Notamacropus eugenii: one gene and its partner. The protein of the gene in region 1 interacts with the protein of each later gene in a biochemical or structural test. Links are inferred from orthologs where the notes say so. Each region holds a gene or a part of one and is shown in the gene's direction. Other genes may lie near its edges. The genes, in order: DRAP1 and DR1.

What was found.
Region 2: the proteins of DRAP1 (region 1) and DR1 form a complex in vitro, tested with the Homo sapiens proteins (2 studies listed by BioGRID). The link is inferred for Notamacropus eugenii from reciprocal best matches to the Homo sapiens genes DRAP1 and DR1.

Annotation. Positions count from the first base shown.
Region 1 is NC_092873.1:18,626,409-18,641,666, forward strand, and holds DRAP1 (dr1-associated corepressor), read left to right. Parts: upstream 1-5,095; 5' UTR 5,096-5,322; coding exon 5,323-5,364; intron 5,365-5,712; coding exon 5,713-5,785; intron 5,786-7,114; coding exon 7,115-7,208; intron 7,209-7,585; coding exon 7,586-7,705; intron 7,706-8,650; coding exon 8,651-8,741; intron 8,742-8,940; coding exon 8,941-9,029; intron 9,030-9,249; coding exon 9,250-9,349; 3' UTR 9,350-9,478; downstream 9,479-15,258. Other genes in the region: C2H11orf68 (UPF0696 protein C11orf68 homolog), read right to left, coding at 3,283-4,030, 4,689-4,795; TSGA10IP (testis-specific protein 10-interacting protein), read left to right, coding at 15,042-15,209. UniProt on the Homo sapiens protein: The association of the DR1/DRAP1 heterodimer with TBP results in a functional repression of both activated and basal transcription of class II genes.
Region 2 is NC_092873.1:268,270,721-268,285,978, forward strand, and holds the start of DR1 (protein Dr1), read left to right. Parts: upstream 1-6,767; coding exon 6,768-6,987; intron 6,988-15,258. UniProt on the Homo sapiens protein: The association of the DR1/DRAP1 heterodimer with TBP results in a functional repression of both activated and basal transcription of class II genes.

The DNA of each region.
Region 1 (15,258 bases):
AAATATATAAAGTGTAAATGTTTTTGCACAAATAAAATCAACGCAGCTAGAATCAGAGAAAAACATATGGATTTGGGAAAATCTTTCTACTAAATATTTGACAAAAATTCAATAAATATAGCTTGTAAGGAACTGATATAAAGATGTTTAAGAACCTCGACAGAGAAGTTTACCAAGAAATACAAATGACCAATAACCACTTGAAAAAAATTTCAAAAACACAAATAATCAATTAAGTTCAAATTATAATCCTGAGACAGCAATTAGACAAAAGATGTCTTTTGAATGAATTCCACCTTATGGTAGCAAAGATACTAAAAAATGGACAATTTCATTGCAGGAGCAGTTGGGGAAAGGTAGGCAAACTAATTTATTGCTAGTGAAACTGTCCAACTGCCCGGGGAGGTAGGGGGACGTAGAACTAAATTGTTTGTCCCCTTTGACCCTGAAATCCCACAACTGGGATGATACTTTCAGGAGGTTAATGACAGAAAAAAAAAATAACTCCTGATATGCCATAGCGTTGATGTAGCATTATTTGTGATAAACAAAGATATGCGCCCAACAGCTAGGGGCTAGTCTGTGAGTGTAAAGGAATATTCCTGTATTTTAAGGAATGCTGAATCTGAAAAATCCAGAGGATCACATGGAAAAAGGAAGTAATGTCAATGAAAGAAAATAGGGTCAAAATTGTGCCAATAGTGTCACTATGGAAAAGCAAAGAACTCACGGCCAGGATAGCTGTCAGAGTTTTCACCCTGCCACCAGTTAGGGGACACATCTCCCTGACTTTTCTGTGCTCAATCCAATGGGTTTTTGGGGAAGTGCACCAGCTTAAAAGGGTACAGTGAGGTACTCTGGGAAATATCTGTTCTGTACAAATGAAAGGGTATCAATAAAATTTAAAAATAAAAAAAAAATCACTCTTTGGCTTAGGGATCCCTCCAAAAGGGTCAGAAAAAAATGTATTATTCCAATCCTTCAAGGGCATGAGATTCCATTGGTGATGACTGGAAGGGGACTGTTATTTTCATTTTAAAGTTGCAGAAACTAAGGCAAACAGGGGTTGTGACTTGCCCAGAGTCACACAGTTAGCAAATGTCTGAGACTGAATTTAAACTCAGGTCTTCCTTCCTCCAGGTCCAGGGCTCTATCCATTACACTACCAAGCATCTCGAATGGCTCTTTGGGTGGCCTGTAATTTTGATGTTTTGGGAGATGACAGTTTTCCATGATATTCAGCCATACAGCTGAGTAGAAGCACTTTAAAGGCATTTAAAGAAAGGTGGGTGTTTTTGGTTGGTTTTAGTGAGAACCTTGGGGATCATTAAAAAGTACTGCACAATTTCCCAAATGAAAGTCAGCACCTTTACGGCATCCAACGTCTACCTAAGCACGTCAACCCAGACCACAGACAGGTTTCATCCACTTGGCTTTCCTGCCTAGATAGTTACTGTGTGTGCGCTCTTGAGGATGCCCAGCCAAATGCAGTTCAGTGCAGTCAGCAGACTCTGCCAAGGGGAGCATCTAGATTCTAGGAGATGCCATTCTCTCGAGGGAAGGGATCCTGGGGGGATGTGGCAAAGGCCTCTGTTGGGGAGCATCCATTTCTCATCATTCATCAGAGGCTCACTGAACCAAACAGGAGGACTCTACTATTTTCATCTTTCAAGGATCCCCATATGATTCTCACATGCAATGTTACAAATAAGCCAGGAGGTAACTTGAAATCTCCCCCAGCTCAGAACCCTCCCTTGGCTGTAACTGCCTCCCTCCTCCCCCTGCTTTGAGGCCTAACTCAGGGGCCTGGTCTTCAATGACTCCCAACAGGTGGGAACAAAATGGTTTATGAGAACACTGTCTGTGGAAATAGTGTAGAACAAAAGCTCCTTGAGGGCAGCAGGCTGTTCATTTTTCTTTTTATGCCCAGCATGGGGCATAGAGCCTCGTGCCCATTTCTGGGAACATAATAAATGCTTGTTGATTTAAATTAAGTTTTGCCCTGAGAGGCAGGAGAGAGGTTTGGATTGGAAGCTAGAAGACATAGGTTTGAGTCATGTGACCTCTGTGCCTCAGTTTCCTTATCTGTAAAATGGGGATACTCACTACGCTCCCTACAAGGCTGTTCTGGGGATCAAATGAGAATATACTGAAAGCTCTCTGTAAACTACTACGTGCCTAGAGGTACCACAAGGCAGCGAGCAAAGTTGTTGCAGGACTCAGTCAGTCAACAAGCATTTATTCAGGACTCACTAGGCACCAGGCACTGTGCTAAGTGCAGACAAAGGAAAGCTGTGGAGACAAAGAAAAGCAAAAAACAGCATCCCTCCCTCCAGGGGCTCACATTCAAATGGAAGAGACATCGTATTAATGACTGGGACACAAGATATATACAGTGTAAAGGAAAGGAAGGCAGTGAAGGTGCTGGGGAAGGCAGGAGGCAGAGGTTGAAGAAAGAGCACTGCAGGCACGGGGCACAACCAGGCTTTGCAAAGGCCTGGAGTTGGGAGGTGGTACCGCCTGTGCAAGAACAGACCAATACCTGGATTATGAGATTTGAGGGAAGGAATAAAGTGTCAGAAGACTGGCACTTGTGAGGGGCTTTCATGCCAGAGCATCATCAAGCTGATCCTGGAAGTGGTGGCTGAAAACCAGAAGCACACAGTCAGGCTTGTGGCTTCCTTGGTCCCAGCAAGCCTCCTAACCCCATTCCTCATCACATCAGAGCTGACCAGCTGCCACCTGGATCTGACAACCAGAGGAGCAGGAGGGAGGGGTGGGCTGAAAACAAAGGTGGGCTTTATTGAAGCCAGGGAAGGAATAGTAGAGGAACGGGTTGTAGGAACTGCAGGCAGAGCAGGGAGCAGCAGGCACCTACCCCACGGGCCCCCCCTGCTGGTGGCCCCGTCCACACTCAGGACTACCAATCCCAAGATGCAACACTCCACCAACTCCTAGGTGCTTTGCCATCCAGGGATGGGGTGGAGTAGCTCTAAGCAGGTGGAGGGAGCCCAGTCAAGGCTCTGGGCAAGTAACTGAAACTCTGAGGAACAGGGTCCCGTTGGCCCTCCATCGACTGGACCAACACAGGGAATAATGTCACGTCTCTGCCTCCCCTCCTTTCCTGAGGCCTGACATTGGTCCCCAAAGCCAGGAAGGCAGACCGCCCTGCCATGGGGACTGATTTAAGAGCCAGAGAGCTGCCCCAGAGGGCCGGAATGATTGTCTGTGCCTTCCCCACCCTAGATGTCTTGGCTCCCAGCACCCGAGTGCCCACCCCCCCTAAGTCAGTGCTGTGTTGTTGAGCCTGTCCAGGACTCGGGAGTAGTGGGGGTCACTCTCCAGGTGGTAGCTGCTCTCATAGAGGGTAGGGCAGAGGTGCCAGCGGTTAGCACGGTAGATTCCTAGGTAGGTGTAGACATCTGGCTTATAGGTCAGTGGGCACTTGACCCCAGCTGCCCGGATGGCGGCATCAGCCTTCAGCACTCCTTCCTGGTCTGTGAAGTCCTCTGTGTAGACACAGATGACCTGACGCTCCTCTTCCTGGGCCCGGGGGCTCACTTTGGCCACTTGTAGCTTCCCCTCCACCACAGCCCTGGCAATGCCAGCCCATGCATGGTCCAGCTTGAAGCCGGGGCTCAGGTGCATCAGCCACTTGCCGGTCAGGACCTGGTGAGTGAGGGCCAACTCCCGCAGAATAGCAGGTGTGATGGGCCGCCCGCTGGCCTGTAGGGCTTCCCAAGCCCCCTGCAGTCCCTGGACATCCCCAGCTCCAGGGGAGAAATCAGGCCCATACACTGCAATCCAGCCCACAGGCTTGGGATTGGGAGCGCTGGGGCCCCCATAGCGAGAGACACGAGAAGGAGGGTAGGCAGCCAGCCAGGAGTCCAGCTCACAAGGCGGGGTGCTGCGGGCATCGAAGACCAGCCAGGGGTCCATGTCGGCTGCCATGGCCTCAGCAGCCAGATGCTCGGCCGTGAAGCCATCCTCCTGGCCCCCAGGGGGGATCTCTTCCTCCGGCAGCTCCATCCTGCGGGGAGGAGGAAAGGTGAGGCCCCGGAACCCCCACCTGCGAGCTGGGTGCCTGCAGCAGGGTCAAGAACCCCTCCCCCTGTAAAGGATGTCCCTTGCAGTGCCATCCTACCATCCCGCTCTTTGTGGCCCTTTAGGGACAGAGGGCGGGGTGTCCCAGTGGGTGGAGCGCCGGCTCGAGGCTGGGAAGCCCCGAGTTCAAATGCGGACACTCACGTGGCTGCTCCCTGTCCCGGTATCCCCGTCAGTAAATCGGGATGATGCTAGCCCCTGCCCCTCCCCAGGGGGTGGGGAGACCCGAATGAATGAACGCAGGGAAAGCGCACGGCAACCCCCGCTCGGCCCTGGCTGCTAGAGGACGATCCCAATCACTAAGCCCCCGCCCCCAGCTCTTAAAGGAGAGAAGCCCTCGGATGGATCCCAGCCAAGTCGCCAGCTCGCCTTCGGGGAGCCACAGTCGGCCCCGCCCCTCCGGCTCCTCCGAGCCCCGCCTCCCCTCCCCCGCCAGAGGAGGCGCTCGCCGCCGCTCGCCTCTTCCCCGCCCCTCCCCCCGGCCTTGGCCCCTCCCGGCTCCCGTACACGCCCCGCCACGGCCGCTGCCCTGGCCCGAGTCTCCGGTCTCGCGACCCCGCTGCCTGCCCTCAAGAGCCAGTCACCTCCGCCTCTCGCTCCTCTCCGTGCCAACCCGGCCTGGCCCCCGCTCTCTCCGGGGCTCTTCTCCGCCGCGGGCCCTCCGCTCCGCCCACCCTACGGCCGCCGCCATCTTGGGCCGCCTGCCGCCTCAACAACAACTTTATCGGCAACCGCCGGCCGCGGTCGTGGACAGCCAGGACAGAGGGGGCGGGGGGACGGGGGAGCGAAACTCCTCCGGACGTGGCAGAGGACGCGACCAATGGGAAGCAGGGCCCCTCCGCGGAGGCGTGAACTCGCGGAGGGCGGGGCCGTTGAAGGCGTTCCTCCCGCAGCAGGGAGGCGGGGCGAACGTCGTCCTCCGCGGGTCTGTAGGAGGAGAGGTGCCGGAGCGAAGCGGCCGCGAGGAGCGAGGCGGGGCGGAGCGTCCGCGGTGGCGGGGGCGCTAGGACCCGGAGGAGCGAGCGGCGGCTCGGCGCTAGGACCCGGAGGCGCCGGAGAGGCCCGGCGCTAGGACCCGGGTGGGGCCGCAGCCGGAGCCGGAGGAGCCGCGGCGGCGGAGCCCGAGGAGCCCGAGGAGCCGGGGCCGGAGCCGGGCCGGGGCCGGAGGGCCGAGGCCGAGGTGCGGCGAGAGCAGCGGCGGCAGCAGGAGGCCACGAGATGCCGAGCAAAAAGAAGAAATACAACGCGCGCTTCCCACCGGTGAGGACCCGGCCCCCGCGGCCGCCCCCAGCCCCGGCCCCGTCTGGGCCCTCCTGGCCCGGCCCGTAGCCGCCCCCTCCCTCGGGTCCCACCCCGCCCCGCCCAGGGATCCCGGGGGCCCCTCCCCCAGCTCCTCCCCACCCTGGGACCCCCGCCCCGGCCCCTGCCCCTCCCCCGGCTCTCGCTCCACACCTGGGCCCCCAGCGGTCCCCGCTCCCGTCCCCGCTGCACCACCGGGCCGCCCTCTCCCCCGGCCCAGCGCCCGGACATCCTTCGATGATGGAGGTTCCGGAGGGGGGTGCCCTGGTACCCCTCCTCGAAGCTGATCTCTGCCTCCCCCACCCCAAGGCCAGAATCAAGAAGATCATGCAGACGGACGAGGAGATCGGCAAGGTGGCGGCGGCTGTGCCAGTCATCATCTGTATCCTGGGCCGCCGGGGAGGATCGGGGACAGTGGGGCTGGGGCTAGGAGGTCGAGGGCAGAGGGGCTGGGGGCTCAGGAGGCCGGGGACGGTGGGGCTGGGGCTAGGAGGTCGAGGGCAGAGGGGCTGGGGGCTCAGGAGGCTGGGGACAGTGGGGCTGGGGCTAGGAGGTCGAGGGCAGAGGGGCTGGGGGCTCAGGAGGCCGGGGACGGTGGGGCTGGGGCTAGGAGGTCGAGGGCAGAGGGGCTGGGGGCTCAGGAGGCTGGGGACAGTGGGGCTGGGGCTAGGAGGTCGAGGGCAGAGGGGCTGGGGGCTCAGGAGGCTGGGGACAGTGGGGCTGGGGCTAGGAGGTCGAGGGCAGAGGGGCTGGGGGCTCAGGAGGTTGAGGGCAGAGGGGTTGGGGGCTCAGGAGGTCAGGTACGGTGGGGCTGGGGGCTAGGAGGTCGAGGACAGAGGGGCTGGGGGCTCAGGAGGCCGGGGACGGTGGGGCTGGGGCTAGGAGGTCGAGGGCAGAGGGGCTGGGGGCTCAGGAGGCTGGGGACAGTGGGGCTGGGGCTAGGAGGTCGAGGGCAGAGGGGCTGGGGGCTCAGGAGGTTGAGGGCAGAGGGGTTGGGGGCTCAGGAGGTCAGGTATGGTGGGGCTGGGGGCTAGGAGGTCGAGGACAGAGGGGCTGGGGGCTCAGGAGGCCGGGGACGGTGGGGCTGGGGCTAGGAGGTCGAGGGCAGAGGGGCTGGGGGCTCAGGAGGCTGGGGACAGTGGGGCTGGGGCTAGGAGGTCGAGGGCAGAGGGGCTGGGGGCTCAGGAGGTTGAGGGCAGAGGGGCTGGGGGCTCAGGAGGTTGAGGGCAGAGGGGTTGGGGGCTCAGGAGGTTGAGAACAGAGGGGTTGGGGGCTCAGGAGGCCGGGGACGGTGGGGCTGGGGGCTAGGAGATCGAGGACAGAGGGGCTGGGGGCTCAGGAGGTTGAGAACAGAGGGGTTGGGGGCTCAAGAGGCCGGGGACGGTGGGGCTAGGGACTCAGGAGGTTGAGGGCAGAGGGGCTGGGGGCTCAGGAGGCTGGGGACAGTGGGGCTGGGGGCTCAGGAGGCTGGGGACAGTGGGGCTGGGGCTAGGAGGTCGAGGGCAGAGGGGTTGGGGGCTCAGAAGGCCGGGGACGGTGGGGCTGGGGCTAGGAGGTCGAGGGCAGAGGGGCTGGGGGCTCAGGAGGTTGAGGGCAGAGGGGCTGGGGGCTCAGGTGGCCGGGGACAGTGGGGCTGGGGGCTCAGGAAGCCAGGGTTGAGGGGCTCAGGGCTCCGTCAGGCTTCCCTGATTTTTCTTGACCAGCTCCTCAGCCAGGGCATTAGAACTGTTTTTGGAATCCCTTCTCAAGAAAGCCTGTCAAGTGACCCAGTCTCGGAATGCCAAGACCATGACCACTTGTCACCTGTGAGTCCTGCCAGGGAGGCCCCACTCTGCTCCCCAACTCTGGCTTCCCCCTTGGTCCCATAGGACACATTTCCATTCTCCTTCTTGCCCCACCCTCACCCTTTCCCTCTGCCTCCCTCACCTTTGAAAAGATCATCTGATTCAGAATCAAAAGACCCACATTGGAATCTCTGTTCTGCCCCTGACCTCAGCCAAACCTGTTCTGGGCCTCAGTTTTCTCTGCTGTAAAATTAGGGGGTTAAATTAGAAAGCTCCTAAGGCCCCTTCCAGTTCTTCATCCCAAGAGCTTCTGTTGCCCTTCAGTTCCCCCCACCCCCAAGTCCCCCTTCCTTTGGAGCCTGAAGGAGGAGCTCAGCCCCTGTTATCTCCCATCCTAGGAAACAATGTATTGAATTGGAGCAGAAGTTTGATTTCTTGAAGGACCTGGTTGCCGCCGTGCCCGACATGCAGGGAGATGGAGAAGACAATCACCTGGATGGGGAGAAAGGAACCCGAAGGTAAGGGGCTACAGTAGGACATTCCCCCATTCTCCTCTGACCCACCCTAGCAAGGTGTTGTGTTTCAGAGAAAATATTTCCAAAATCTAACCAGCACCATATACAAAGTGGAACAGTCACAAAATATTTATTCAGCTTGCTATCGTGTGCCAGGCACTGTGAAGCCCCAGATCTCTCTGTCTGTCTCTGTTCATCTCAGGGCATCCCCCCACCCCACCTCCTCCCAAAGAAATGTCCCATAAAACAGATAACATTTTTAAAGAGACAAAATCAGCAGACGCGATCAAATCTTACAAGTCTGGGAACCTACAGCACTCCAGACCTGTGCACCTCTGCCTCGGTGAAGGGAGGAAAGGGGGAGGGAGGCTTCCTTTCTTTATGGTTTCACTGAAGTCCGGCCAGTTTCCCTTGCCCAGTTGCTGCACTGTTGAAGCCCACCCACACCTGATTCTCCTCCTTTCTTAAGTTCATATAAATCTTCCCAGAGTCCCTTTTTTCACAGCACATGGTATCCCATTATACTCACGTCATACTTTGTTCCGCCCTTTCCCAGATGAGGGGCTCCACTTTGGGTTCAGAACTAAGCAAGCTGCTGTGGATGCTTTTGTATACAGTGTGTTCTTTTCAGTGGTGTAGATGAGTCCAAAGGGTATGGATGGTTTCATACCTCTCTGACCAAAGGTCTGAGCTGTCCTGGGTCCCTTGGGAATAAGAAGGTTTCAAAGCCACTGTGAAGAAGCACCTTAGGGCTTTCCTGGCCTGATTCATTCGAGCCTCACAGCCGAGCTGAATGGAAACGTCTTGAAGTCAGACCCTGGTGTTTTGTGTCCCCTGTAACCTTGCGCATTCATAAATGTCCGTGGGACTACTCATGGTACTTGCTGTCCCCTTGGTGTTTCCACCTTTTAAAGTAACCTTTAAGGGCCTTTCTGGTTCTAATTCTAGGGGCCGGAAGCCTGGGAGCAGCCGGAAAAACGGTGGTGCTGGAGGAAAGGGGAAAGATAAGAAGCAGTCTGGGACAGACTCGGAGCAGGAGGTGAGCTAGCCCCATCAGACTGTCAGCTGAGGACAGGACCTGTCTCCCTTAGGTCTGTCCAGTGACTGAGCCCCAGGCTTCTGAGAGGAGGCCATCAATGCCTTCTCCTCTCCCTGCCTGATATACCTGGGCAGTCAACATGGCCCCTTCTCCCTGAGCTCAGGGGGTCTGACAGCCTTTTCTGTGATTCGTCCCACAGGATGATTCTGAAGACACAGAGACAGATGGGGAGGAGGAGATGCCACAGCCCCCACCCCAATCCAGCCGGCCCACAGCCCAGTTCCAGAGGTGAGGTTGGCGACCTGGAGGCAGGAGTGGGGAGCATTGTAGGTGGGGGGGAATGTGGCTCAGGCTGGGGGTTGAGGGGATCTGGCTCAACCCAGTACCTGTCTGTAATGTCCATACCACCAACCTCCCAGCACCCATGGTTCTCTAGGGTTCTGGTCTCGAGGATGCCTGTGCAGTTAATCTGACAGCCTCTCTCCTTTCTTGTCTCTCTGCTCCACAGCCCTCCGGCTCCTTTTCTCCCCTTTTCCTCCACCCTGCCTCTCCCTCCAGCACCCCCTGCCCCTACAGCTGTTGAAGAAGAAGAAGATTATGACTCATAGGCCCTCCCCCCTGGCCCTCCCCCCCCTCCTCCCACCCTCCACCCTCGTTTAGTCAATTTTAGTGGCTGAGGGTGAGGTAGGGGGTAGGGGAGGGCCTTCTTAAATTTATTAAAAATTTTTAAAAAGAAAGAGGCTCCTGAGTATTTGGCCCCCTCCTCTGTCCTGCCTCCCCCCAGATGTTTGGGAAGTCCCTTCTCCCATAGACATCACTTTCCTGATCTGTAAAAGGGGGCCATTGAGTCCAGTGTGCCTGGAGAGTGGGCAAGCTGCCCTCTGCCTTGGAACCTTGGCTCAAACGCTTCTTCAGCCCATTCACCCACCTCCTCATTTGTAAGCCAAGGTGGCTACCCCCTAGGGCTGCCCAGGGCCAGGATCCTCGTGCTGCCTCGCCTTCCCTGGCTGCCCTGCCTTGGAGTCTGTCAGGGTCACTGGAGTCCAGACAGCCCACCCTCCTCTCTACTTCTCTGCCCCTACCCCTGGCCCGGTGATTGAGGGTCACTGAGGGGTCCCAGCAAAACTTCTCTTTGGATGCCAGTGACTTAAGAGTGGTGGTCAGCATATAGGGGTACAAAGGCTTCTCTGGACACACACACCCCTGCCCCCAGAGAGGTCAAAACCAGAGGTATGTGATGGCGCACAGTGAGAGGACAAAGGTGAGAGCATTGCCCATTGTCCAGGCCAGCCCCTTCCTCATGTTACAGATAGAGAAACAGTTCCAGGTCACATATCACCTGAATTTGAACCTGGGTCCTCTGGCCTCAGCTCTTTTACTCTTTCCCATGCAGAGCTAAAGCCCGATTGAAGATGGCGAGGGGAAATGGGAGGGCAGTTTTGAACATAATTGTTAGGGTTGATGGGTAGATCTAGACCCTGACAGAAGACCCTGTCTTCCCCTGCTCTTTCCCTTGTTCCCCCTCCCCAACCTGTCTGCCCAGGGACCCAGCTTGGGGTGAAGGGAGGAAAACAGGAGCTTCATCTTTAAGTGACTGCTCTGGGCCAAGCCCTGAGGACACACACAGTAAGGGAAGAGGGATTTTAATAACTTTTAGTGCCCACCCTGGGGAGGGGTGGGCTTTATGGTATGCAGATGGGGAGCGGGAGGGGCCACCCTACAACACCCACCCCACTGCCCTTTGTTTCTATAGGCCTTTCTATTTCAAGATACTTAAACAAGACCTGAAAATACCCCTATCCCCACAGGTCGGTAAAGCCCAGGAGTGGAGCTGGCTGGGTTCTGGGCCTTCACCTGCACTGACTCTGTTAGTGCCCTAGAGAACATCTAGGCCACCCCCTCTTATTACAGATGAGGAAACTGAGGCCAGAGATGTGAAATGTCAAGGCAAATGTCCCATGTAGCCACACTGGTCGTAGCTGCTCTCTGCAGACAGCCTTCAGAGGTTTGCAAAGCATTGTAAATGTCCTAATATTTCTCCCTCTACCACCATAAGGCAGCAACTGTTCTCATCCCAGTGACTGGTCAAGAGAAGGGTAGGTCATGGAGATGGGCAGCATCTTAGTCAGATTAGGTCCCAACAACTCCATTTCCCACTTTCCGTCCATTTGTCTTGACCCCTAAGTAGAAGGTGGCTGTAACCCAAAGCTCTCTGGGGCTCCCCTTCTTCCAGCCTCCTCCCAGAGGGCAGTCCCTTAAAGGTCCTCCCAAAGTGAGTTATGGACATGGTCCTGTCTGCTGAAATTCACATGTTAATAGTAACCAGGGGAGTGAGGCAGGAATCACTGGGCACGTCATCCTAGATATAGTTTAATCACCCCCCCCACACACACACACACTTTCTGCATAGAGCCCCTTTGCGCTCAGTGTGGCAGAATCTCCAAGTTAGGCTTTCCAAATGATCTAAATACCACATGCTATTGAGATGCTTCAGCATCTTGGCCGCCCACCCCCTGCCCCACTTATACCCCTCTACCACCACCCCATCTCCCGGACTCTGTGCACTTCAGCATGGTCATAAGATTTGATGCCTAGAATGTAACCCAAAGAGTATCCTAAGGCTCTGCGACAAGGAGTCTTAGAGGCCACTTATTTGATGCCATCATGTGATCAGACTCCAGGTGGGTTCATGCCTCTTAACAAGACCTAAGACTGCTTTGCCATTCTTGGCTATTCTCACGTTATTGGGTCATTTGGAGCTTAATGTCCACTAAGAACCCCAGATCATTTTCATAGGTTCCCAAGAGCTTTCTGGGCTCACAATGTCCTGAGGTTCTTCTGCCTAGACAAGGTGAGACTTGAGCTAGGTCTCAGTACCAGCAGTACTGGGCTTGATGAGAAGAAAAGGGAGGAGAAAGTGAGGCAGAGTGGAGGGAAGTGGAAGCAAGCAGAGCCTACAGAGATCAGGCATGTTTACAGGCTGGGCCTTCTGGCTTCTAGAAGTTTCATCCCATCGACTCCAGGAGTCAAGAGAGGCTCCAGCTTTGTAGGAGCTGAAGGTGTGCGGGGAACAGTCTCCCTGGGCATCCCAAGAGTTGACTCTGGCTCATTGCCCAAAGGAAGCAGAAGCAGTAGGTGATCCCAGCACCCTGGGACACTAGGCATTTGGAATCCCTCTCTCCCCATGGAAAGAGGAAAAACATGGAGGAGGTGGGGTAGATGGTCCAGCACTCAGGGTCCTGAGCAAACTCAGATGATCACAGGAAGCCAGGACTTGAAGAGGCCACCAGTCTGCCCTCCTTTTACAGAGCTGGTGACTCTGAGACTCAGGAGAAAGGACTCACCTGGGGTCCTACCTCCAGCTCCACCCTAGGCCAACCCACTCCAAGGCCATCAGGCGAGGCAATGCTGTGGGCAGATACAGATTTGTTTTTTAAAAAATAAGTTTTTATTGATGTCAATTTTTGGAATCAGCATAATTTCTCCAGGGGACACAGTGGATAGAGCACTGGGTTTAGAGTCAGGAAGACTCATCTCAATGAGTTCAGATCTGGCCTCAGACACTCACTAGCAGTGTGGTCCTGGGCAAGTCACTTCACCCTGTTTGCCTCAGTTTTCCTCCTCGGTAAGATGAGCTGGAGAAGGAAATGGCAAACCACTTCAGTGTCTTTGCCAAGAAAACCCTAAATGGGGTCACTGAGAACTGGACACACCTGATACGCCTGAACAATTTCTTCCAGTATCCCTTCTCCTGGCCCCACCCAGAGAACCATTCCATGTAACACTATTTTATAAAGACAAAAAAAAGGGGGGGAGGGAATCAGCCTAACTGAGTAATACGTGCAATAAGGTTGACACATGTCGCAGCATCGCCTCTGCAGAGGGGGAGGGGAGGGGAGGGGGCTTCCTGGGCCTCGGCTTGACAACATTCACTTGATTTTGGTGTGCAGTTCTCTCCATTTCTGTTGTAATTGCTGCGTATGCTGTTTTCTTAGCTCTGCCAGCTCGCCTCTGCGTCAGTTCATATAGATGTCCATCTTCCCATGTTTCTCATTTAACATTCCATTCCATGGATGCACCGCACTGTGTTTAGTCATTCCCCATCAGTGGGTACCCACTTTGTTTACAATTCTTTGCTATCACAAAAAGTGCTGCTAGGAATATTTTGGTATATTTGGGGACTTTCTTCTTATCAATGGCCTCCTTGAGGGGGGTCTCATCAATTGACTCTGAGTAAATCAGCCAAACTGATTTAGCTACTGGGAAACTCCAGTAGGAAAGGCACTCACATAACCTTAAGGGGGAATCTGGGAAGGCTTCAAGGAGGAGGTGACCTTTGAACTGCCTGCACAGGGCAGGGTAGGGAGGACATTCCAGGCATGGGGTGCTGATCCTCAGTCTCCTCTGGAAAAGCACCTTGGAAACTGGGTAACGAAGATAGTCATATCCCAATTTTATAGATGAAGAAGCAGGCGCAGAGTTCATTATATGATAGGATCATAGGTAGAGGGAAGGGACCGTAAAACCTCGTACTGCATATGTGGAAACTGAGGCAGAGCGAGTCATACAGATCCAACTTCAAGTCTAGCTTGCTGGGCCCTGCACTGCACTGTCTCTTGATGAGAGGCCACAAGGGGACACCACAGTGCACTGGGCCCTGTGAAGAAAGGGAAGGATTTCATAAAGTCAAGTTCACCTGCATTAATTAAGCCCATTGTGTACTAAGCCCTGAGCTAAACACAGGATGATACAAAGAGAGAGTTTTTAAAGAACCCCAGCCCCTGCCCTCGGGGAGCTACCACTCTAAGGGTGGAGACCATGTGAATAAACAAGCTACATACAGGCTATATTAGAGACCACCCCAGAGGGAAGGTCCAAGATTAAAGACCATGGAGAGATGTTTCCTGGAGAAGGAAGCCAGAGGGTGGAGATAAGGAGAGTGTCTGTGGCATGGGGGACAATGCCTGGAGTCGGGAGATGGAGAGGCTTGTTCAAGGAACAGCAGGTGAATGGAGACATCAGAAAGGAGGAGTGGCCAGTGCCTGTGACCAGTCAGGAGGGAACATCGAGGAGTCCAGCTTGGTCGGAGTATCGAGTCTGTGACCAGGACTTATAGGCTTACAAAGTCAGAGCTGAAAGTGACCTCAGAGGTCAACTCATTCAGCCCCTCCTATGAGAGGCAGTGACTGAGCTGGGTCTTGTGGATGTCGGTTCACTCTAATTTCCTAACCCTCATTTCTGTCCCAAAGCATCATGGGCAGCCTTAAGAAAAAGGTAGTGACCTCCCCATCACTGGAAGTCTCTGAGCAAAATTTGTATGCCTCAAGGAATGCGGTGCTGGACTGGGTGCCTCTGAGAATCGTTTGGAAACTTGCAAATAGGATTTTCAAGGGCAAACGGGAGGAATCCAGGCCGGTGCATACCAAGCCATTTCCCCTCATGTGGGGTGGGAGCCTCCAATTTCCCAGACAGAACCTTGGACTCCCAGAGCTAGTTGTGGGGAGAGCATCTCCTCTGACCCCATCAAACCTTTTGTACACTCAAACTTGCTCATCCTCCTCTTGGGCCCCTTTGAAGTCCCCCCCACCCCCAGCTCCATAGAGAGTTACCAGCCAGGCAGAGACCAGGACTCACACCTCTAGCTGCTGTAACCATGGGGGGGACAGCTCAGAGAGCAGGGACAGACCAGACAGACCAGGGTCCCAGGCTAGGCAGAAGTATAACCCAAACAAAAAGATCCCTATTTCAGGGAGAGGGTGTGGGAGCTAGAGGGGACCTTAAGTGATCATCTTGTCTGATTCCCTTATTATACAGGTGGGGAAACTGAGATCCAGAGAGAGGAAGGCCCTGACCCTAGACTGCAAGGGTTCTTTAGCCACCACTTAGACACAGGACGGTGCCATGGGAAACCCTGGGAGTCAGAGGAGCTGGGCTCAAATACTGGCTCCTCCGCTTACTGCTCATGACCTCCTCTGAGTCTGAGTTTCCTCCTTTGGCTGTCAATCTCCTGAGCTGAGGGTGTGCCTACTATGTAAGACCCCATTCAAGGAGATAGAGAGCAGGTTCCGGTCAGATGCTGCCCTCACAAAAGTTACAGTACAGGCTACTACAAATGGCCAGACACACAGCAAGACATTATGACATGATCAGGGAGGACAGTTGCCCCGAGGTGCTTTCAGGGGCCAGAGTGCTCTCAGAAGCCAGGGTCTCACAGGCCAGGTAACCATGCCTCCCCAGAGGCCTGTTGGTCTCCATAGTGATGATCCAGGACCAGGCTTGTAGAAGTTCTGAAATAGGGGGATGGGGCAGAAGAATACTTTGCTAAGAACCCATCAACAGTCAATTCTGGCTGCCTCTGTGGTGAAACCTAACCAGGATGCCCGAGTCCGGGTCCCTTCAGCCTCATCTGAAAAGGGAACAGCCACTGGACTGCTGGGACTCCTTTCTGGGGTGCCTTTGGCCCACCAAGTATGTGGCTTCTAACTGCCAAGACCCTAGAGCTTGGAGACAGGATGCC
Region 2 (15,258 bases), about 250 Mb from region 1:
GAAAGTTGAATTTTGAGTTGTATCTCAAACACAGTATAGTATAGTGGAGTAATACTGGACTTGGATGCAGGAATTCCAATTCCCAGATTCAAATTCCACCTCTGACACAAAAGCTGTATGACCATGGGCAAGCCATTTAACCTATATGCACCTGTTTCCTCATTTTCAAAATGAAGGGGTTAGACTAGATGATCTCCAAGGCCCACTTCAGTTATATGGACATGTATGGACATTCAGGTAGGTGAACATGTTAGTAGAAGAGTCTATAAGAATGAAAAAATGAATGAAAAAGCATTTAAATACTTAGTATGTGCAAGATACTCTACTAAACATTGGGGGTACAAATTCTAATGGGGGAAAACAACACATAAGGGAATGATGACCAGAAAAAGGAGTTTTGGTTAGGAGAAGTCACTGAGATGGCAGATTGGTGTATCCAATATGTCTTTTCCAGAAACAATAGTACTATTTATTTATTATGTGCAGAGCGAGAGGTAGGAAGGGAGGAAGGAACGGAAAGAACGCTTGTGATATTTTATGAGATGACTTAGGTGGATCACTGGCTGTCATGTGAAGCTCAAACCCAGTTTGGCATCTAGGGCTGAGCAAAGTGAGCTACTTTGAATTCAGTCACTAATCATCTGGGTGAGGATGAAGAGAAGGATGATGAGAATGGCTGGGAAAACCATCCTTTTATTCACTTAAGTTTTGCCTTAGTTTCCTGAACTCTAAAATGGGGAAAATGATAGCACTCATCTTTCAGGTTTGTTGTGAAGATCAAATGACACATTTGTAAAGTGCTTAGCACAGTACATGACACATAGATAGAACTTAATAAATGCTTGTTTCCTTTCTTTACCCATAGATACTTGGCAACAAGCCATTGCCAAACACAATCATTCTAACTGCTTACTCTATGAAGAAGACAAGAATCCCTCAAAATTTGTGGCATGATTATATTACTAAACACCACTCTTTCCATTTCTCCAACTACAAAGTCTCCAGTGACAGGCTAAGGTACTTTTTTTTTTCCTTTAAAATGCTTTTTTGACAACTAATATGAGTATTATCAGTTGAGACAAGGTCATGCCACAGATTTAAAACTTTCCCAGACACTCCATGTACTCCACTAACACAAATATTTTCATCATATAGCCACAAATGTCTTTAGCTTAAAGAGGTACATATTACAAATACTTAGAGAAAGTGAGAGTTATAAGATTCTGCAGTTTTAAAATAGAGATCTTTAAAACTGAAATTCATATAGAAAAGAGAATTGAAACTACTCTCCCACCACTGAGAAAAAAAGGGTTGGGGAGCTTTTTCTTTCCTGCTGTAAAGAAAAATCAACAGCCTTTTTAAGCCTTTTCTTCCGTAGCTACATTCAGAAAGCACATCTGTGGTCAAAAGAGAGAATGTAAAGGTATTTTGCAAAACAAATATACTGGTGTGAAATGTTCTGTCTGAAGCTGTGCATACTCAGGTGGCATGGTACATTAGAAAGAGCAAAGTATTTACCCAGGAGACCTGCTTTTATCAGCATTCTTTATGCTTTTGCATAAATTTCTAATGTTTCTATTAATTATAGTTCAAAGAATCTAATTCAGTTAACGTGGGGTATTCCCTTAAGTGGAGCCCAATCCCTATACACCTATGGTTACTGTTCCATACCACGGCCTAAACAATTCATCAGAATGTGGATGACCTTCCAGCTAGTCTTTCCAAAATTAGGTCACTGCCTCCCAGATGACAGACATCTAGTATATACAAAACAGTATGTCACTGGGCTTATTTTAGAAGTTTTTCCATCTTGGAAGTATCTTCCTGAGCATTATTGCTGGTAATATGCCCTTCAAAGCAAATCAAAAGGAAAAAAAAGTATTTGATAATTATTGAGTCAGAGTTTTCTTTGAAGGCAGTATGGTAGGGTAGAAAAAGCATTGGACTAAATCAAGAAATGGGCATGGACAAGTTTTTAATCTCTCTGAATCTGAACTGGTTTTGCTCTGCATCAGTTCAGACAAGCCTTTACAGGTTTCATTGAATTGATTTTCCTCTCTGATGGTTCAAAATCCATTTACATTCATATACCACAATTTGTTCAACCATATCTCAACTTTGTTCCCAGTTCTTTGCTGTCACAAAAAGTTTTGCTATATTTGTGTATACATGGGATCTTTCACAATATCTTTCACCTCTCTAGAGAATATGCTCAGTAGTGATATTGCTCAGTCAAGAAATAAGTATAGTTTAGTTCATTTTCTAAATATAATTCCAAACTATTTCCCAGAAAATGGTTGGATCAATAACTCCACCAAAGCACATTAATGTGCCTGTCTTCCCAGAGCCCCTTCCACATTTACCATTTGTCATTCTTGCCTATCAGTATGAGGTAAAACCTCAGAGTTGTTTAAATTTACATTTCCCTTATAATTGGTGATTTGGAGCATTATTTTAAATGGCTGATAGCTTCTTTTTTATTTGCCTGTTCATATTAGTTGACATATCTTACAAATCAAACAATTACCAGACACTTGCAAATTATTTTATATTCTAAACTGGTGAGGACCTTGGCTACCATCTAACTATCAACTTTTTGCTAAGGCAGTTTTTAGTTTCTGTGGGTCTCCTTGTTATGGTACTTTCTGTATGAATTTCTCTGGTTTCTGTGTCTTCTGTCTGACCCAATTTTTCATCATTTTGTTATCTATTTGATACGAAGATTTTTTCCAGTTCACAGCTTATTCTAATGACAATTGCTTACACAAAAACTTTTTAATTTTTATGTATTCAAAATTACCTATTCTCTTAAAATTATATCTATTCCTTAAAATTTTCTTCCCTAAACTTGAAACATCTGTATATTATCCTCAATTTTCTGAAAATGATGTGATCTTTTATATTTAGATCATGCACTCAATTGTAGTAGATTATGGTATGCAGAGTAGGAAGTTGGTCTGAACCTTATTTCTGCTAAATTACTTTCTAGCTTTCTCAGCAACTCTTGTCACTTACTATGTGTCTGAGACTGTGCTAATTTAAAAATATTTCATTTGGTCCTCACAATAACCCTAGGAGGTAGGTGCTATTATTATTCCCATTTTACAGCTGAGGAAACTGAGGCAGAGGTTGTGTTCTTTTTTGTTTGTGCTCTTGGGCTTATTAAACATTAGACTATTATGTTTATTTCAGTCTTGAGTACTTCTTCATTTCCCACCAATCAGTTTCTTAACCATTGCTAAAAGTTTTGACAATTACTGCTTTATAACACTGTTCACAATCTGGTAACTTTAACTTCCCCTCATTCCTACCTTTTTTCATTATTTCCTTTGAGATTCTTGACCTTTTCTTTCCTCCAAGTAATTTTATTATTTTATCTAATTCTATAAAGTAACTACTTGGTAGTCTGATTACAGACTAAAGTCTGTAATCTTTGGTTATTATATAATCACAGCTCGGACTACACGATCTTTTTCTCCCGGAAGGTTCTTCCATTGATTTGTTATCCTCATTTTTTCTTGAAGACAGATTTGACCACCCCTAAGTCACTGAATGGATGGCTCCATGAACTGACTGGTTCAAATTCGTCAGGCTGTTTAGTACGAGTGGACTGACTGGCTATTAGTTTCTACCAATTTGAGCTGCAGCTAGACACTGGGGGAAAAAGCCCTGCGTGCTCACCTCAATGGGCAAATACACTCAATGTTTGTCTTTTATAAACGTTTTATTTTTTCCTTCTGACAGTCATTGGCATCACAGACAAACAAGCCAATTTATGCATCACTTAATCCCAGTATGTTCTGGGGATGATTAACTTCAAAGTACTCTTGAGCAGTAAAAGTCACAAGGTACTTGGTATAGTGTGGAAATTGTGGTTGAAGGGTACCCCGGGCTGTTGTTCTATCTTCCTAATGCAATGCACTCCCCCTCTGCTTAATTCATTACAAGAAAAGTTAGTTCGCCCAAGCAGGCCTTGGTAGCTAGGTGGCCAAGTGGAGGGAGTGCCCCAGCTACAGTTAGGAAGACCTGAGTTCAGATGAGGCCTCAGACACTTACTAGCTGTGTGACCCTCAGCAAGTCACTTAACCCTATTTCTTCAGCTTTCTCATCTGAAAATGAGCTGGAGAATGACAAACCACTCCAGTGTTCTTCCTAAGAAAACTCTAAAAAAGGAATCATAAAGAGTAAAAAATAAGTAAATGACAACAAAGCCTTCATAAACCAGCTGACTACCTTTCTCCAACCTTAGGGATAAGGCTAGAATATTCAAACTGCTTCACCATAACAAAACTCCTGTGGTTTCAGAAGACAATACAAAAATCTGATAACTATTTCAGTTTGCAATCTGATGAACTGAAAGACCCATCAGGTTTAATGAATGGCTCTCTCCAACTTGCTTTTAAAAAAAACCTATAGCAGAGAAATTCACCCTTTTTGATATTAAAATAATACTTTATCATTGCTGAATGAGGGGACCTTTTCCTCACAAATCACTGTATGGAATAGTTTTTAAATTTTAAAAGCACTAACTTTGGAGAATTTGATGACATGCTCTTCCTGGAATAAGAAGTAGGATAAGGCATTTGTGAGAACTAAGCAAGGTTTGAAAATTGCACGTACGTTCCACAGGAATTGTCACTGTAACATTAAGATTTATCACAATATAAATATTTACCTGCCACGAAGGGTGGAATTTTATAGCATTAAAAACTATGTGCATTTAAATAAATATTACAAGTGTCTCTCACCCCTGTATTCCTTCCTGGTGGCTCCTACTCTTCTTTCTACCTAGCCCTTCCAGCATTTTTGTCTCCCCAGTGTATTATTTGCTTAAGATACGCCTATGATATATTCAAGCAAAGAGGGAGAGTGCCCTTGGAAATGCACTCCGGGCAAGCCAAATATCGAGGAGTGGCCTTGACTATACCATCAACCCCGATTCTCACACCATTTCTCCATAGGGTGTTAACTCCACCTTAGTCACCGTCAGCACCTGCTGACAAAATTTAAATTAAAAAACACAAACAACCAGATGCCACAAAATGGAGAAAAATAGCTTTATCCAGAGACCATGAAAAACAGTAACTCACATTTCTAGAGTGCTTTGCGAACAACCCCCTTGGGGTGGGTAGCCCAATTCCCATTATCCATATTTTGGAGATGGGTCTAGACTTGGGATTTTAGCAGCACGGGAGGCTTCTGGCATGGAAACTCCCTCCATCAATGCCGACTGATACTTGTACAACCCAGAGGCTTAGTGCCCTGCCAAGATCACACAGCTGGGAAGAGTGAAAGCAGCAGCGTCTCCAGCAGGCCCCCATTATCCACGGCATCCAAAAGCCTCCCATCCCCATTCTGATGGAAATCAAGGCCCAAAGGGGGCTCTTTGAATCACAGATTTGGGGCAGGAGACCTCACAAGTCCGTTCGTTAGCCCAGGCCTCTCAATAAACTGAGGTTTGGCACACACAGGTCCAAGGGGCCCTTGGGGAGGTCCAGCATTCTCTCCTCTCCGATACCCAGTCGCACAAGTATGCAGTTTTGGGGTGAAGATGGAGCCTAGGGCTAAAGGCGAACCAAAAGGGAGGGCTATTTTTTCGCCCCTCACCCTCGAACTGACACATAAAAAGGCTCTCGGCCCACGACGCCCCAGCGGCCCTTGTAGCCCTAAAGCCTGGCCCCTCTCCTAACACTTTAACTCCTCCGCTTCCTTCCAGAGCAGCCCGCCTTCCCCCGGCCCGGGCAGAGACGGGGCGGGGGCCGGGCACGAGATCCGGCTCGGCGGAGGGGCCGCGAGGAGCGCGCTGCCCTTCGGCTTCGAGATCGATTCTGCTCGGCCCCCTCCGCGCCCCCAGCCAAGGGGCTTCCTCCGAGGAGGCCAGGCTCGGCCTGCCCTCCTCGGGGTCCCCCCTAGGCCGCGGGGCCGTTTGGGACCGGTCTGGGGAAACTGCGCCGAGAAGTGGCCGTTGAGGCCCGCGAGGACGCCGGAGCCTGCCGCTCCGGACCCTTTCGAACGCCCGTGGGGGGGAAGGGCGGCAGCGGCTCTTCCTCGCCGGAAGTGAAGTAGGAGTTTAGAGGAGGCCGGCGCTTCCGGCCGCGCAAAGGCTCTTGGGAGCAGCTTCTGGCAAACCCTTTTGCCCCGGCCTCAGGAGAAGCCGTCTCTCTCTCCGCTCCGGCTTCCGCGATCTGCATCCGGGCTAAGCGGCCACGGCGGCCGCCACTGCGGCTCCTCGTCTGCCCGACTTCGCTCCGTGTTCTCTTCCCGGCGATAGCGGCGGCCGCCACGGCCGACATGCTGTGAGTCGGCGGCGTCGGTGCCGGTGCCCGAAGAATGGTTTGGTGGCGCCGGCGGCGGCAGCAGGTGGTGGCGGCGGCGGAGGCGGCGGCTGCGGCTCGGGCTCTCTAGAGCCGAGCCCCCTGCCTGGGGTGTCAGCCCGGTACGGCGGCCAGGCCAGGCCCCCGGATCGCACCAGGGTTCGGGGGACGGCGCCCGCCCCTCTGAGGAGGCGACTCTGAGCTGCCCCACTTCCCGGAGCACGCCGGGCTCCTCTCTCTCCCGTGTTCACGATCCCAAGTCACCCCTTACCCACTCACACACTCAGCACCCTCTCCCGGGCTTGTGGGCTTGTGCCCCGGCCGCGCCGCCCCCAGAGGCGGCCGGGTCCTCGTGTGAGCAAGATTGTCTGGTCTCTGCGGGCCAGTGGTCCAGAACCAGGGACTTTTTAAACCCCGGGAGAGAGAGAAGGGAGGGCGAGACGAGACGAGACGATGGCCTCTTCGTCTGGCAACGATGATGATCTCACTATCCCCAGAGCTGCTATCAATAAGATGATCAAAGAGACTCTCCCCAATGTCCGAGTGGCCAACGATGCCCGGGAACTGGTGGTGAACTGCTGCACTGAATTCATCCACCTCGTCTCCTCCGAGGCCAACGAGATTTGCAACAAATCCGAAAAGAAGACCATCTCCCCGGAACACGTCATACAAGGTAAGCGGGGGGCGCTGGGGCCGTGGAAGGGAGCCGGCCCCGGCTGCTTTCCTTTGTGCCGCTCCGGAGAGGAAGCCCATGGTGTGGGGCACCCCCGAGCGCGTCGGCACAGACATGGTTAATGATTGTGCCCCGCGACACCTCCCGCGGAGATAGTGGGTCGTGAGGAGGGGGCTCTCGGAGGGGTACGGTGAATGAGGGGATTCAGCACCTGCCCCAGGGCAGTCACCTAGATCGTAGCCCGACTGGAAAAGGAACACGAGGTTTCTGGCTTCATTTTTACAGACAGTCTTTAGTTTGGAGGGTTGGGATGGGGAGCAAGTGAACACCCTTCGAAATTTTTTGTTAGGAGAGCAAAAATGTTTAGCCTAAGATGGGTGTTTGAAAGAAAACCAAAGGTACCGTCTCTTCTACTGTGTGGAGTTCCTTATTACATGAGTACTTCAAGAAATATAAAAAAGTTTTTTATTTCTGTTGTGGAGGCAGACATAACTTTTCCGAAGAGGATGTTACTTTGGCCCTCGTTGCCTCAGTTTTGCGTACCCACAGACAGGTTATGAACTGGAAAGAGAAAGTATTGCATGTGGCCAGTAGCTTATAACAAGGGTTTTTACGTTAAATTTTTTTCTGTTCACCCCCTTGAATCACTCTCTCGGAGTTACACAGACAGCCATTCATGAACGGCACTTTGAAACAACTTCAGCAGTTAGCAGTAGAAAATGTGCAGGGTGCTGTCAAGTGTCAAGAGATGGAGATATTCTGGAGACTTAGTACATCACCATGGTCTTGGGGCTGAGTGAGTACTGACTGCCCTCCTTAAGGAAGGCAGTATGACACTTTTTTCATTTTTCTTTTATCCACTTAGTATTTGAAAAGTATTTAAATTTGAAATGATGACCTTATTTCATAATATAAATTTCAACCTTGCTAATTTGTGTCTCCATTGCTTCTTAAAAATTCAGTTAATCAAAACTTTAAGCGGGCTTCTAGTTTGCCTTTTACCTTTTGAGTTTCACAGTTGCTATTTCTATATATATGGAAATAGTCTTATCACAGTGATGTGGAAAATACTTGCACTCTAGCATTGTACAGGTGTGGTATCATGCTAATAAATGTACCTGTTACTGCACTGGTGACATTTTACAGTCGATATTGACAAAATAATTAAATGATCCATTGTAGTTCCTTTTTGGTATGTTGAAAGTAGGTTTAAAATATACCATGACTTCTCAGTAAGTGAAGGGGGGGGACATGACCAAACTCCAGTAAACCAGGTTGACTGCTTTAATAGATTCATGGTGAAAGTGTATTCTTTTAAAAGCTTTTTTGATTTCATACTTAAGCCCAAAACTTGAAAGGTAAAGATATTCTTTTGTTTATATTGCTATTTTGTATTGTGCAACTACTGAAACATTTTTTCTTATACAACATTATCCCCCACAGAATACAATTTCTTTTTACAATTCATATAAAAATGGAAAGGTTCCTTTGTCAACATTGACTGCCATGTAAAAATACAAGAGACTTTAAAGGAATCTGCTTTAACATTTTTTTCACACCTTTGAAATGATGATCTTTCCAAAATCTAATAACGATTTGCAAATGAACTTCTTAATAGAGTTTAATCAATTTTAGAGGTTTTTTTTTTTTATGTTTTTTTTTTAATGTTAACACAATAGCTTGAAAGTGCTGTTGTAGCAAACAATATTAGTTCAACATTAGAATATGTTCAGTTCTGAATACTTATGGTTATACCTGTCACTAACCAGTGAATCCAGAATTAAGAACCTTAGTAAAAGTTATTTTACTAATTTATAAACAACAATAATAGGGGAAGGAGAAAAGGAATGAACATTTATATAGTGCTGGGTACTGTGTCCAGCACATAACATTTTTACAAATAATGTGATAATATTATGATAGTAGTTGAAAGTTATACTACTTTGAGAACAGTATCTCATTTGAGTCTCATAATGGCTATTTGAGGTAGACTATTTTATGTAAAAGAAAATTGAGACTTAGAGAGAAGTTTAGTAACTTGCAAGGGATTGTGTGCAAATTTTCTTGCTTTCAGTGCTGCTTACATGACATTATGGGAACTGCTATAATTAATTGTTCCTTTTTGGTATTGATTCTATTTATTGTAAAATCACATTTTATTATAAACACCATCTCTATTTCCCTTCCCCACTCCTAGAAATTGGAAATGATATAGACTATTTGGGAGGTCCTTCACTGCAGGTATTTTTTTAAAAATTGTTAAAAGATGTGTTCTTAGTGTTTTTGCAGAGAAAGAATGTCTCTACATTTTGGAAACTTAGGGTTGGCAAGTATGGGCAAATTGCAGATGAAAATATAGATGTGGATATGGTGCCTACTTTGTTGTAAGTATTTGTTTCAGTTAACACCATTTACACAGATGAGGAAGCTGCACAAGTCTTGTGGTTTTAGGTTGCCGAAGAATTTAGACTTTTAGTGGTGGGTTCTTTAACAAACTAGATTAGACTTTTGCCTCTGGACATTTTGCTTGCCACTTTCTTAAGAGTGGGAGCACTCTTAAGTGGGAATCCACTGTAAGGGTGGATTCAGCAAATCATCATTATTCAGTCATTAGAAATAAAAAGATAAAGAAGGAAGGATTACAATTAATCTGAATAGATCTGTAAAGTAGCTAATGTGAGAAAAAGTTTATGATATCAGCTGTATGCTTTATTTTGAAAAGTTGTTTTATATCAAGTTGAGAGAAAACACATTTAGTATTTTGTGTGAAGTCACAATTCATTACAAAAGGTTCTAAGTTTCTTAGATTGTGCTTTATGTTGCTACCTTTGCCTCTGAATGTGTTTTCGGGTGTAGATTTCAGCATATTGCTTTGTTGCTTTATTGGAAGAGAGCCTCTCAGGTCTCTGGTTTTCTCATTTGTAAAATCAGGGTTGCTCTAGATGATCTCTTAAGTCCCATTCTGTCTCTAACATTCACTGAATTTGTGAATCTTCACTAGAAATTTTATGGCCTTAGGGGAAAAAACCCTAAATTTGGTTTCCTCCGTCCTGTACACAATTTAAAAGTAAAGTGGATGGAGGGGAGAGAAGATTTACAAATATTTTGTTATTCCCAATAACCCTGTGAAGTAGGTGCTATTATTATCCTCACTTTACAGTTGAGTAAACTGAAGCAAACAGAGGCTTAGTAACTTGCCCTGGGATTACACAGCTAGTAAGTGCCTGAGGCTGGATTTTAATTTAGAGCTTCCTGACTCTAGGCCCATCTCCTTATCCTTTGTGCTGCCTGCCTTAAGTGTCATATTCAACTCAGAGTCAACTCTGAAATAGTTTTTGAGGGCTTTAGATGTCATATGTTTGTTTTGTATTTTTAGAATTGTAGGACTTAGAACTTGAAAACATTTAGAATGCAGTCTAGTCAAATACCTTTATTTTACAGATGGGGAAACTGAAGGGCACAGAAGTTAAGTTTTTTTAAGAATGAAGATTCAGGATTGCAACCCTGATTGTGTACTATATCCCAATGCTCTTTTCTGTTATACTGAAGGTCTGTTACTGTTCACTGTTCACTATGGATTTGAGGTTGGATTTGAACTCAGATCTTTCTGACTCCAGATCCAGTGCTTTATTGTTCTACTTACCTGTCTTAATAGGAAAAAAAAGTTAAAATCCTTAAAAAATTAATCACAAAAGGATAATTTTTTCCAAAGGGGCTTGTGATTTGTTTGTAGTTTTCATGGCATAATCAGTGGATTTGTCATCCATGTGGGTACTCCCTCTGCTGCAGATTAAAAACTGTCCGTGCTTGCCCATTCTCTGTGACTGATCTGTGTTCTTTCATACATAGGGTGTCCATCTGATCTTCCGGGGACATTCCTTACTTTATCTGGGCAGTATGGGAATACCAGTGGAGCACACAGGCTGTCTGTCCATCAAATTATCCCTTGCTCTTAAAATGAGGGGCACTCTAGTAGGCGGGTTTAAAGTTTGAGTTATTATGATTATTATTATACTGAAAGTCGAAATTTGTGCAATAGAACATAGAGGTGCTTAGAGGTGGAGGTTAAAAGAGACCAGAAACAGTCTCCCACCTTTCTCTTCCCTGTGGCCAAGATTTCTTGGTAATTATAGTTACACCGAATTTGGCTTTGTTTTTGCTGCTTTTTTTTCTTTACATTATGGTAGTCATCGTGTGTATTGTTTTCCTGACAAGTCATTCAATTGATGATATTTACCAGCATAGGAGTTTCTTTTACTGACCAGTTTCTGGTACATTTTGAAGTGTCATTTTAAGCATGTTCAGTAACTACTTTTTTGTAGTGTTTTTTAAAAAGTTTAGCTGTCAGTTTGTTGCTCAGTCTCATTTTCAGTCGTGTCTGACTGTGATCCCATTTGGGATTTTCTTGGCAAAGATACTGGAGTGATTTGCCATTTCCTTCTCCAACTCATTTTAAAGATGAAGAAACTGAGGCAAATAGAGTTAAGTGACTTGCCCAGGGGCATATAGCTTAGTGTCTGAGGCCAGATTTGGACTGAGGAAGATGAACCTAGGCCTGGCACTTTATCCACTGTGCCAGATTTCATAATTCGTAGATATGTATGAAGATGACTCATACGTGGTTAAATATTGTATTTAGGTAGTGATTTTTCCCATCATACCACATTGTAATTATTATTATATTTTTTTACTATATTCCTATGTATCTGTTGTAATGTGATTATTTTTGTTCACAATTCTTAAAGGTTTGACTTTTTATTTATTCTTAGATTTTAAAACACCCCTGAGATTTATGTAAAACTGGAATGATTATTATTACTAGATAATAAATCACTGTAAAAAGTATTCCTTTTTTTTGCAAGACATATGTTAGGTAGTGAGTGACATTTATCTTACAAAATGTCTTAAAATATTAGCTCAGTATCTGTACCATATTTTAAAAATAAAGTGTATGCAAATTCATTCTATTAGGAATATTTGTGAATTGTGATTCATTGATAACTCTTTGTCATTTTTGAAAAGTCTTGTTATACAAAGCCTCATGTGACTATGAGTGGAACTTCATGATATAAGAAGAATCAGATGTCAGGTAACAAATGTCAGGTCAATGAAAAAACTGGGTATAGGTTGGTTTAGCATTTTACCAGTAATGACCTGCATGGAAGTAGACATCAATGAAGAAATGTATAAGCAGAAAAGGAGATAGACCAGAATCAGAAATAGCAAGTAGATAGCCTGAATGCTACTTTAGTACCGACATGATGTTAAAAAGGACTAGAGAGAGAAACGCCACTTGCAAGTTGAGTGAAACCTTCTGGTGAACCTAACAGTCAGCAAGCATTTATTTAGGAGCCGTCTGTATGCCAGGCATACAGAGAAATGAACCAGACTTGACTTTCGAGGAGCTTAGATGCTATCTACCAGGGCAGATAAACATAGGCACAAATATATACACAAATATATATGTGTGTGTATATGAATGTGTGTGTGCACAAACATATACATGCACACATACATAAGAAATAGGTGTAAAGCAGTTTTGGAGAGAGGATGGATTGGTAGCTTGGGAAAGATGAGTGGTAGATCAAGGAAAGCTTCATGTGGAAGGGAGCACTTGAATTAAATTTGAAGAAATAGGGATTCTAAGAGGCAGAAATGAGGAAGGGAGTGAATTCCAGGCATAGGCACAGCCACTGCTGAAGTGTGGAGACAGGAACAGGAGATGGGCCCAAGGAACCATTATAAATCTCCAGTACCTTCTTTTGTGCTTGTCAAAATCTTGTTCCTTCAAGGCTTGTTGCAGTTTTCTACCTCTGTGAAGCCTTTCATGATTTGCCTTTCTAGAAGTGAGCTCTTCCTCTTCAGATTTTTCTGTGATAACTTCACCTAAATCTTTCCTTTGCACTCACAATGTTCTACCTACTATCCTACTTATCTGTATACCTTATAGGTCATATTCCCACATAGTAGATACTAAATTCTTTGAAGGCATATACCAATAATTTTAATTTTAATGTACAGTAAAGTACATAAAGGAGTATGAGAGGACATGGGCAAGAGTTAAGAGTTGCACAAGTTGAACTTCCAAAATGATGAGCTTATAGATCCATTTGTATACCATAGTACATTATGCCATTCTCTAGTCATTAAGCACATAATTTGTTTCCATCATTTTGCTATAACACAGTGCTGCTTTGGGTCTTTTGTTACACATTGAACCTTTCTGTTATTGATGTGCTTGAGGTTAAAACCTAGTAGTTGCATTGCTCAACCCAATAAAGCATTAGATGTAGTGGATTCAGGAAGATCTCGATTAAAGTCCCACCTCTGACACATAACTGGGTATGTGATCCGGAACAAGTCCCTTAACCTTTCAGAGTTTCTAAGGAACGCTTGGTAAGACTTTAAATTGAAGATCAGTTGTTGATGTACTTTGGTGCAGATGATTTCCTCATTGGGTATTCTCGATTCACTAATGAAATAGAAAGAGTACAAAAAGTTCATTCTGTTGCATAATTCCAAAGCGTTTTTTCAAATGGTTAGGCAAAGTCACAAACCCACCAACAATGAATTAGCGTGTGTCTTTTCACAAGACTTTTCTAGCATTTAGTTTTATCATCTTTGCCAATTTGATGAGTACGATGTTGCAGTTTCAGAGTTTTTAAAATATGCATCTCCATTTTTTCAGCAAGCATTTATTGAACACCTAGCTGCCAGGGATACAAAGACAAAAGACTAAAACAATCCCTACCCTCAAAGACCTTATATTACACTGTAAACATGATAGCCAGACATGGAATAGAGAAGATTGTAAAAAAAAAATGCTATTTTTAATAAAAAAACTTGTATATCACCAAAATAAAACTTTAATTGAAAAGAAAAACTTTGAGTTGGGATACAAATCTTGTACCAAACCTGACAAAAATCCAACATACAGGATCTATGGAGTTGACTCAGATCTATCCCTCTAAGAACCGTTCCCCAATAGAAAAATGGTCAAAGAAAATGGATAGTTTTCAGAATGTGAAATCTAAACTATGAACTATGAAAAGAATACCTTTTGACAAACATTTTTCTATTGGGCTCTTATTATTTAGCATATATTTGTGTCAATTCTTTATGAATCCTGGCTATCAGACTTTTCTTAGAATAGTTGATGCAAAGATTTTTTTTCCCTACTTCTATGACAAATATTAAGAATTTAGAAAAATTTGGGAAGATTTATGAAATGATATAGAAGAGCAAAAAATAAAAGATTTATTAAGTGCTTACTCAGTGCCAAATATTGCTGAAAAATGGGGATACAAAGACAGAAGATGAACACTAAGCAGTGGGAATGCAAAAACAAAAAATAAAGATGACCCCTAGGGATCACACGCAAAGGGTAATGGGTGATTTTAGTCCAGAAAGTTAGAGATTTTGAGTCAAATGGGAGAGTAAATTGACACACCCCATCAAAGAGAATTGATTTGATTTGATCACGGTTCATGGTTCCAGAAAAGGTGGGAGGAGGGGAAAGGAAGGATATCTCTGTGTGGGCAAGGAGATAATTGGAAAGGCTGGAGTGAAATGAAGCATGACTTAGGACTTTTCCTGAAATAGTGGTCTGAGTGATACTGTTACCTATTAGGCCAGGAATACACACACACACACACAGACACACACACACACACACACACACACTATATATTCTATAGCTTAAATGAAGACAATAATAAAAAGTCCAAATACAGTGGTTTCAGATGACTTAAGCTAAAACATACATCCTTCCTTTCTTTTTAACAAATCATAAAATATGCAGATAGAAATTTTCATGTACTGTCAGTCTTAAGAGTTGGGAGGGACCTCAGAGACTACATAGTTCAATTTAGTACAGAAACAAGAATCCCATTTATAACACACTTGACAAGTGGTCAAATCTAGCTTTTCTAGAAATTCTACAGTGAAGGAAAGCCCACTACCTCCAAATTCAATCCATTCCATGTTTGGATCACTATAATTATTTTTAGAATTTTTGTGTATATCATATTTACATGTACCTCTCTTGAACCCCATTCTTTGCTCCTACTTCTGTACTCTGAAGTCAAGCAGAATAAGTCTAATCTCCATTTCATGTGATAGTCTTTCTTCTGCTTGAAAACAAATTACCATGTCCACTATCCTAGCCAAGTTATCTCTAAGTTAAACATCCATAATTCCTTCAACTAATCCCCATCTGAGGATTACCCTGTGACCTTATATGCCTTTCACCATCTTGATTGCCCTGTTCTG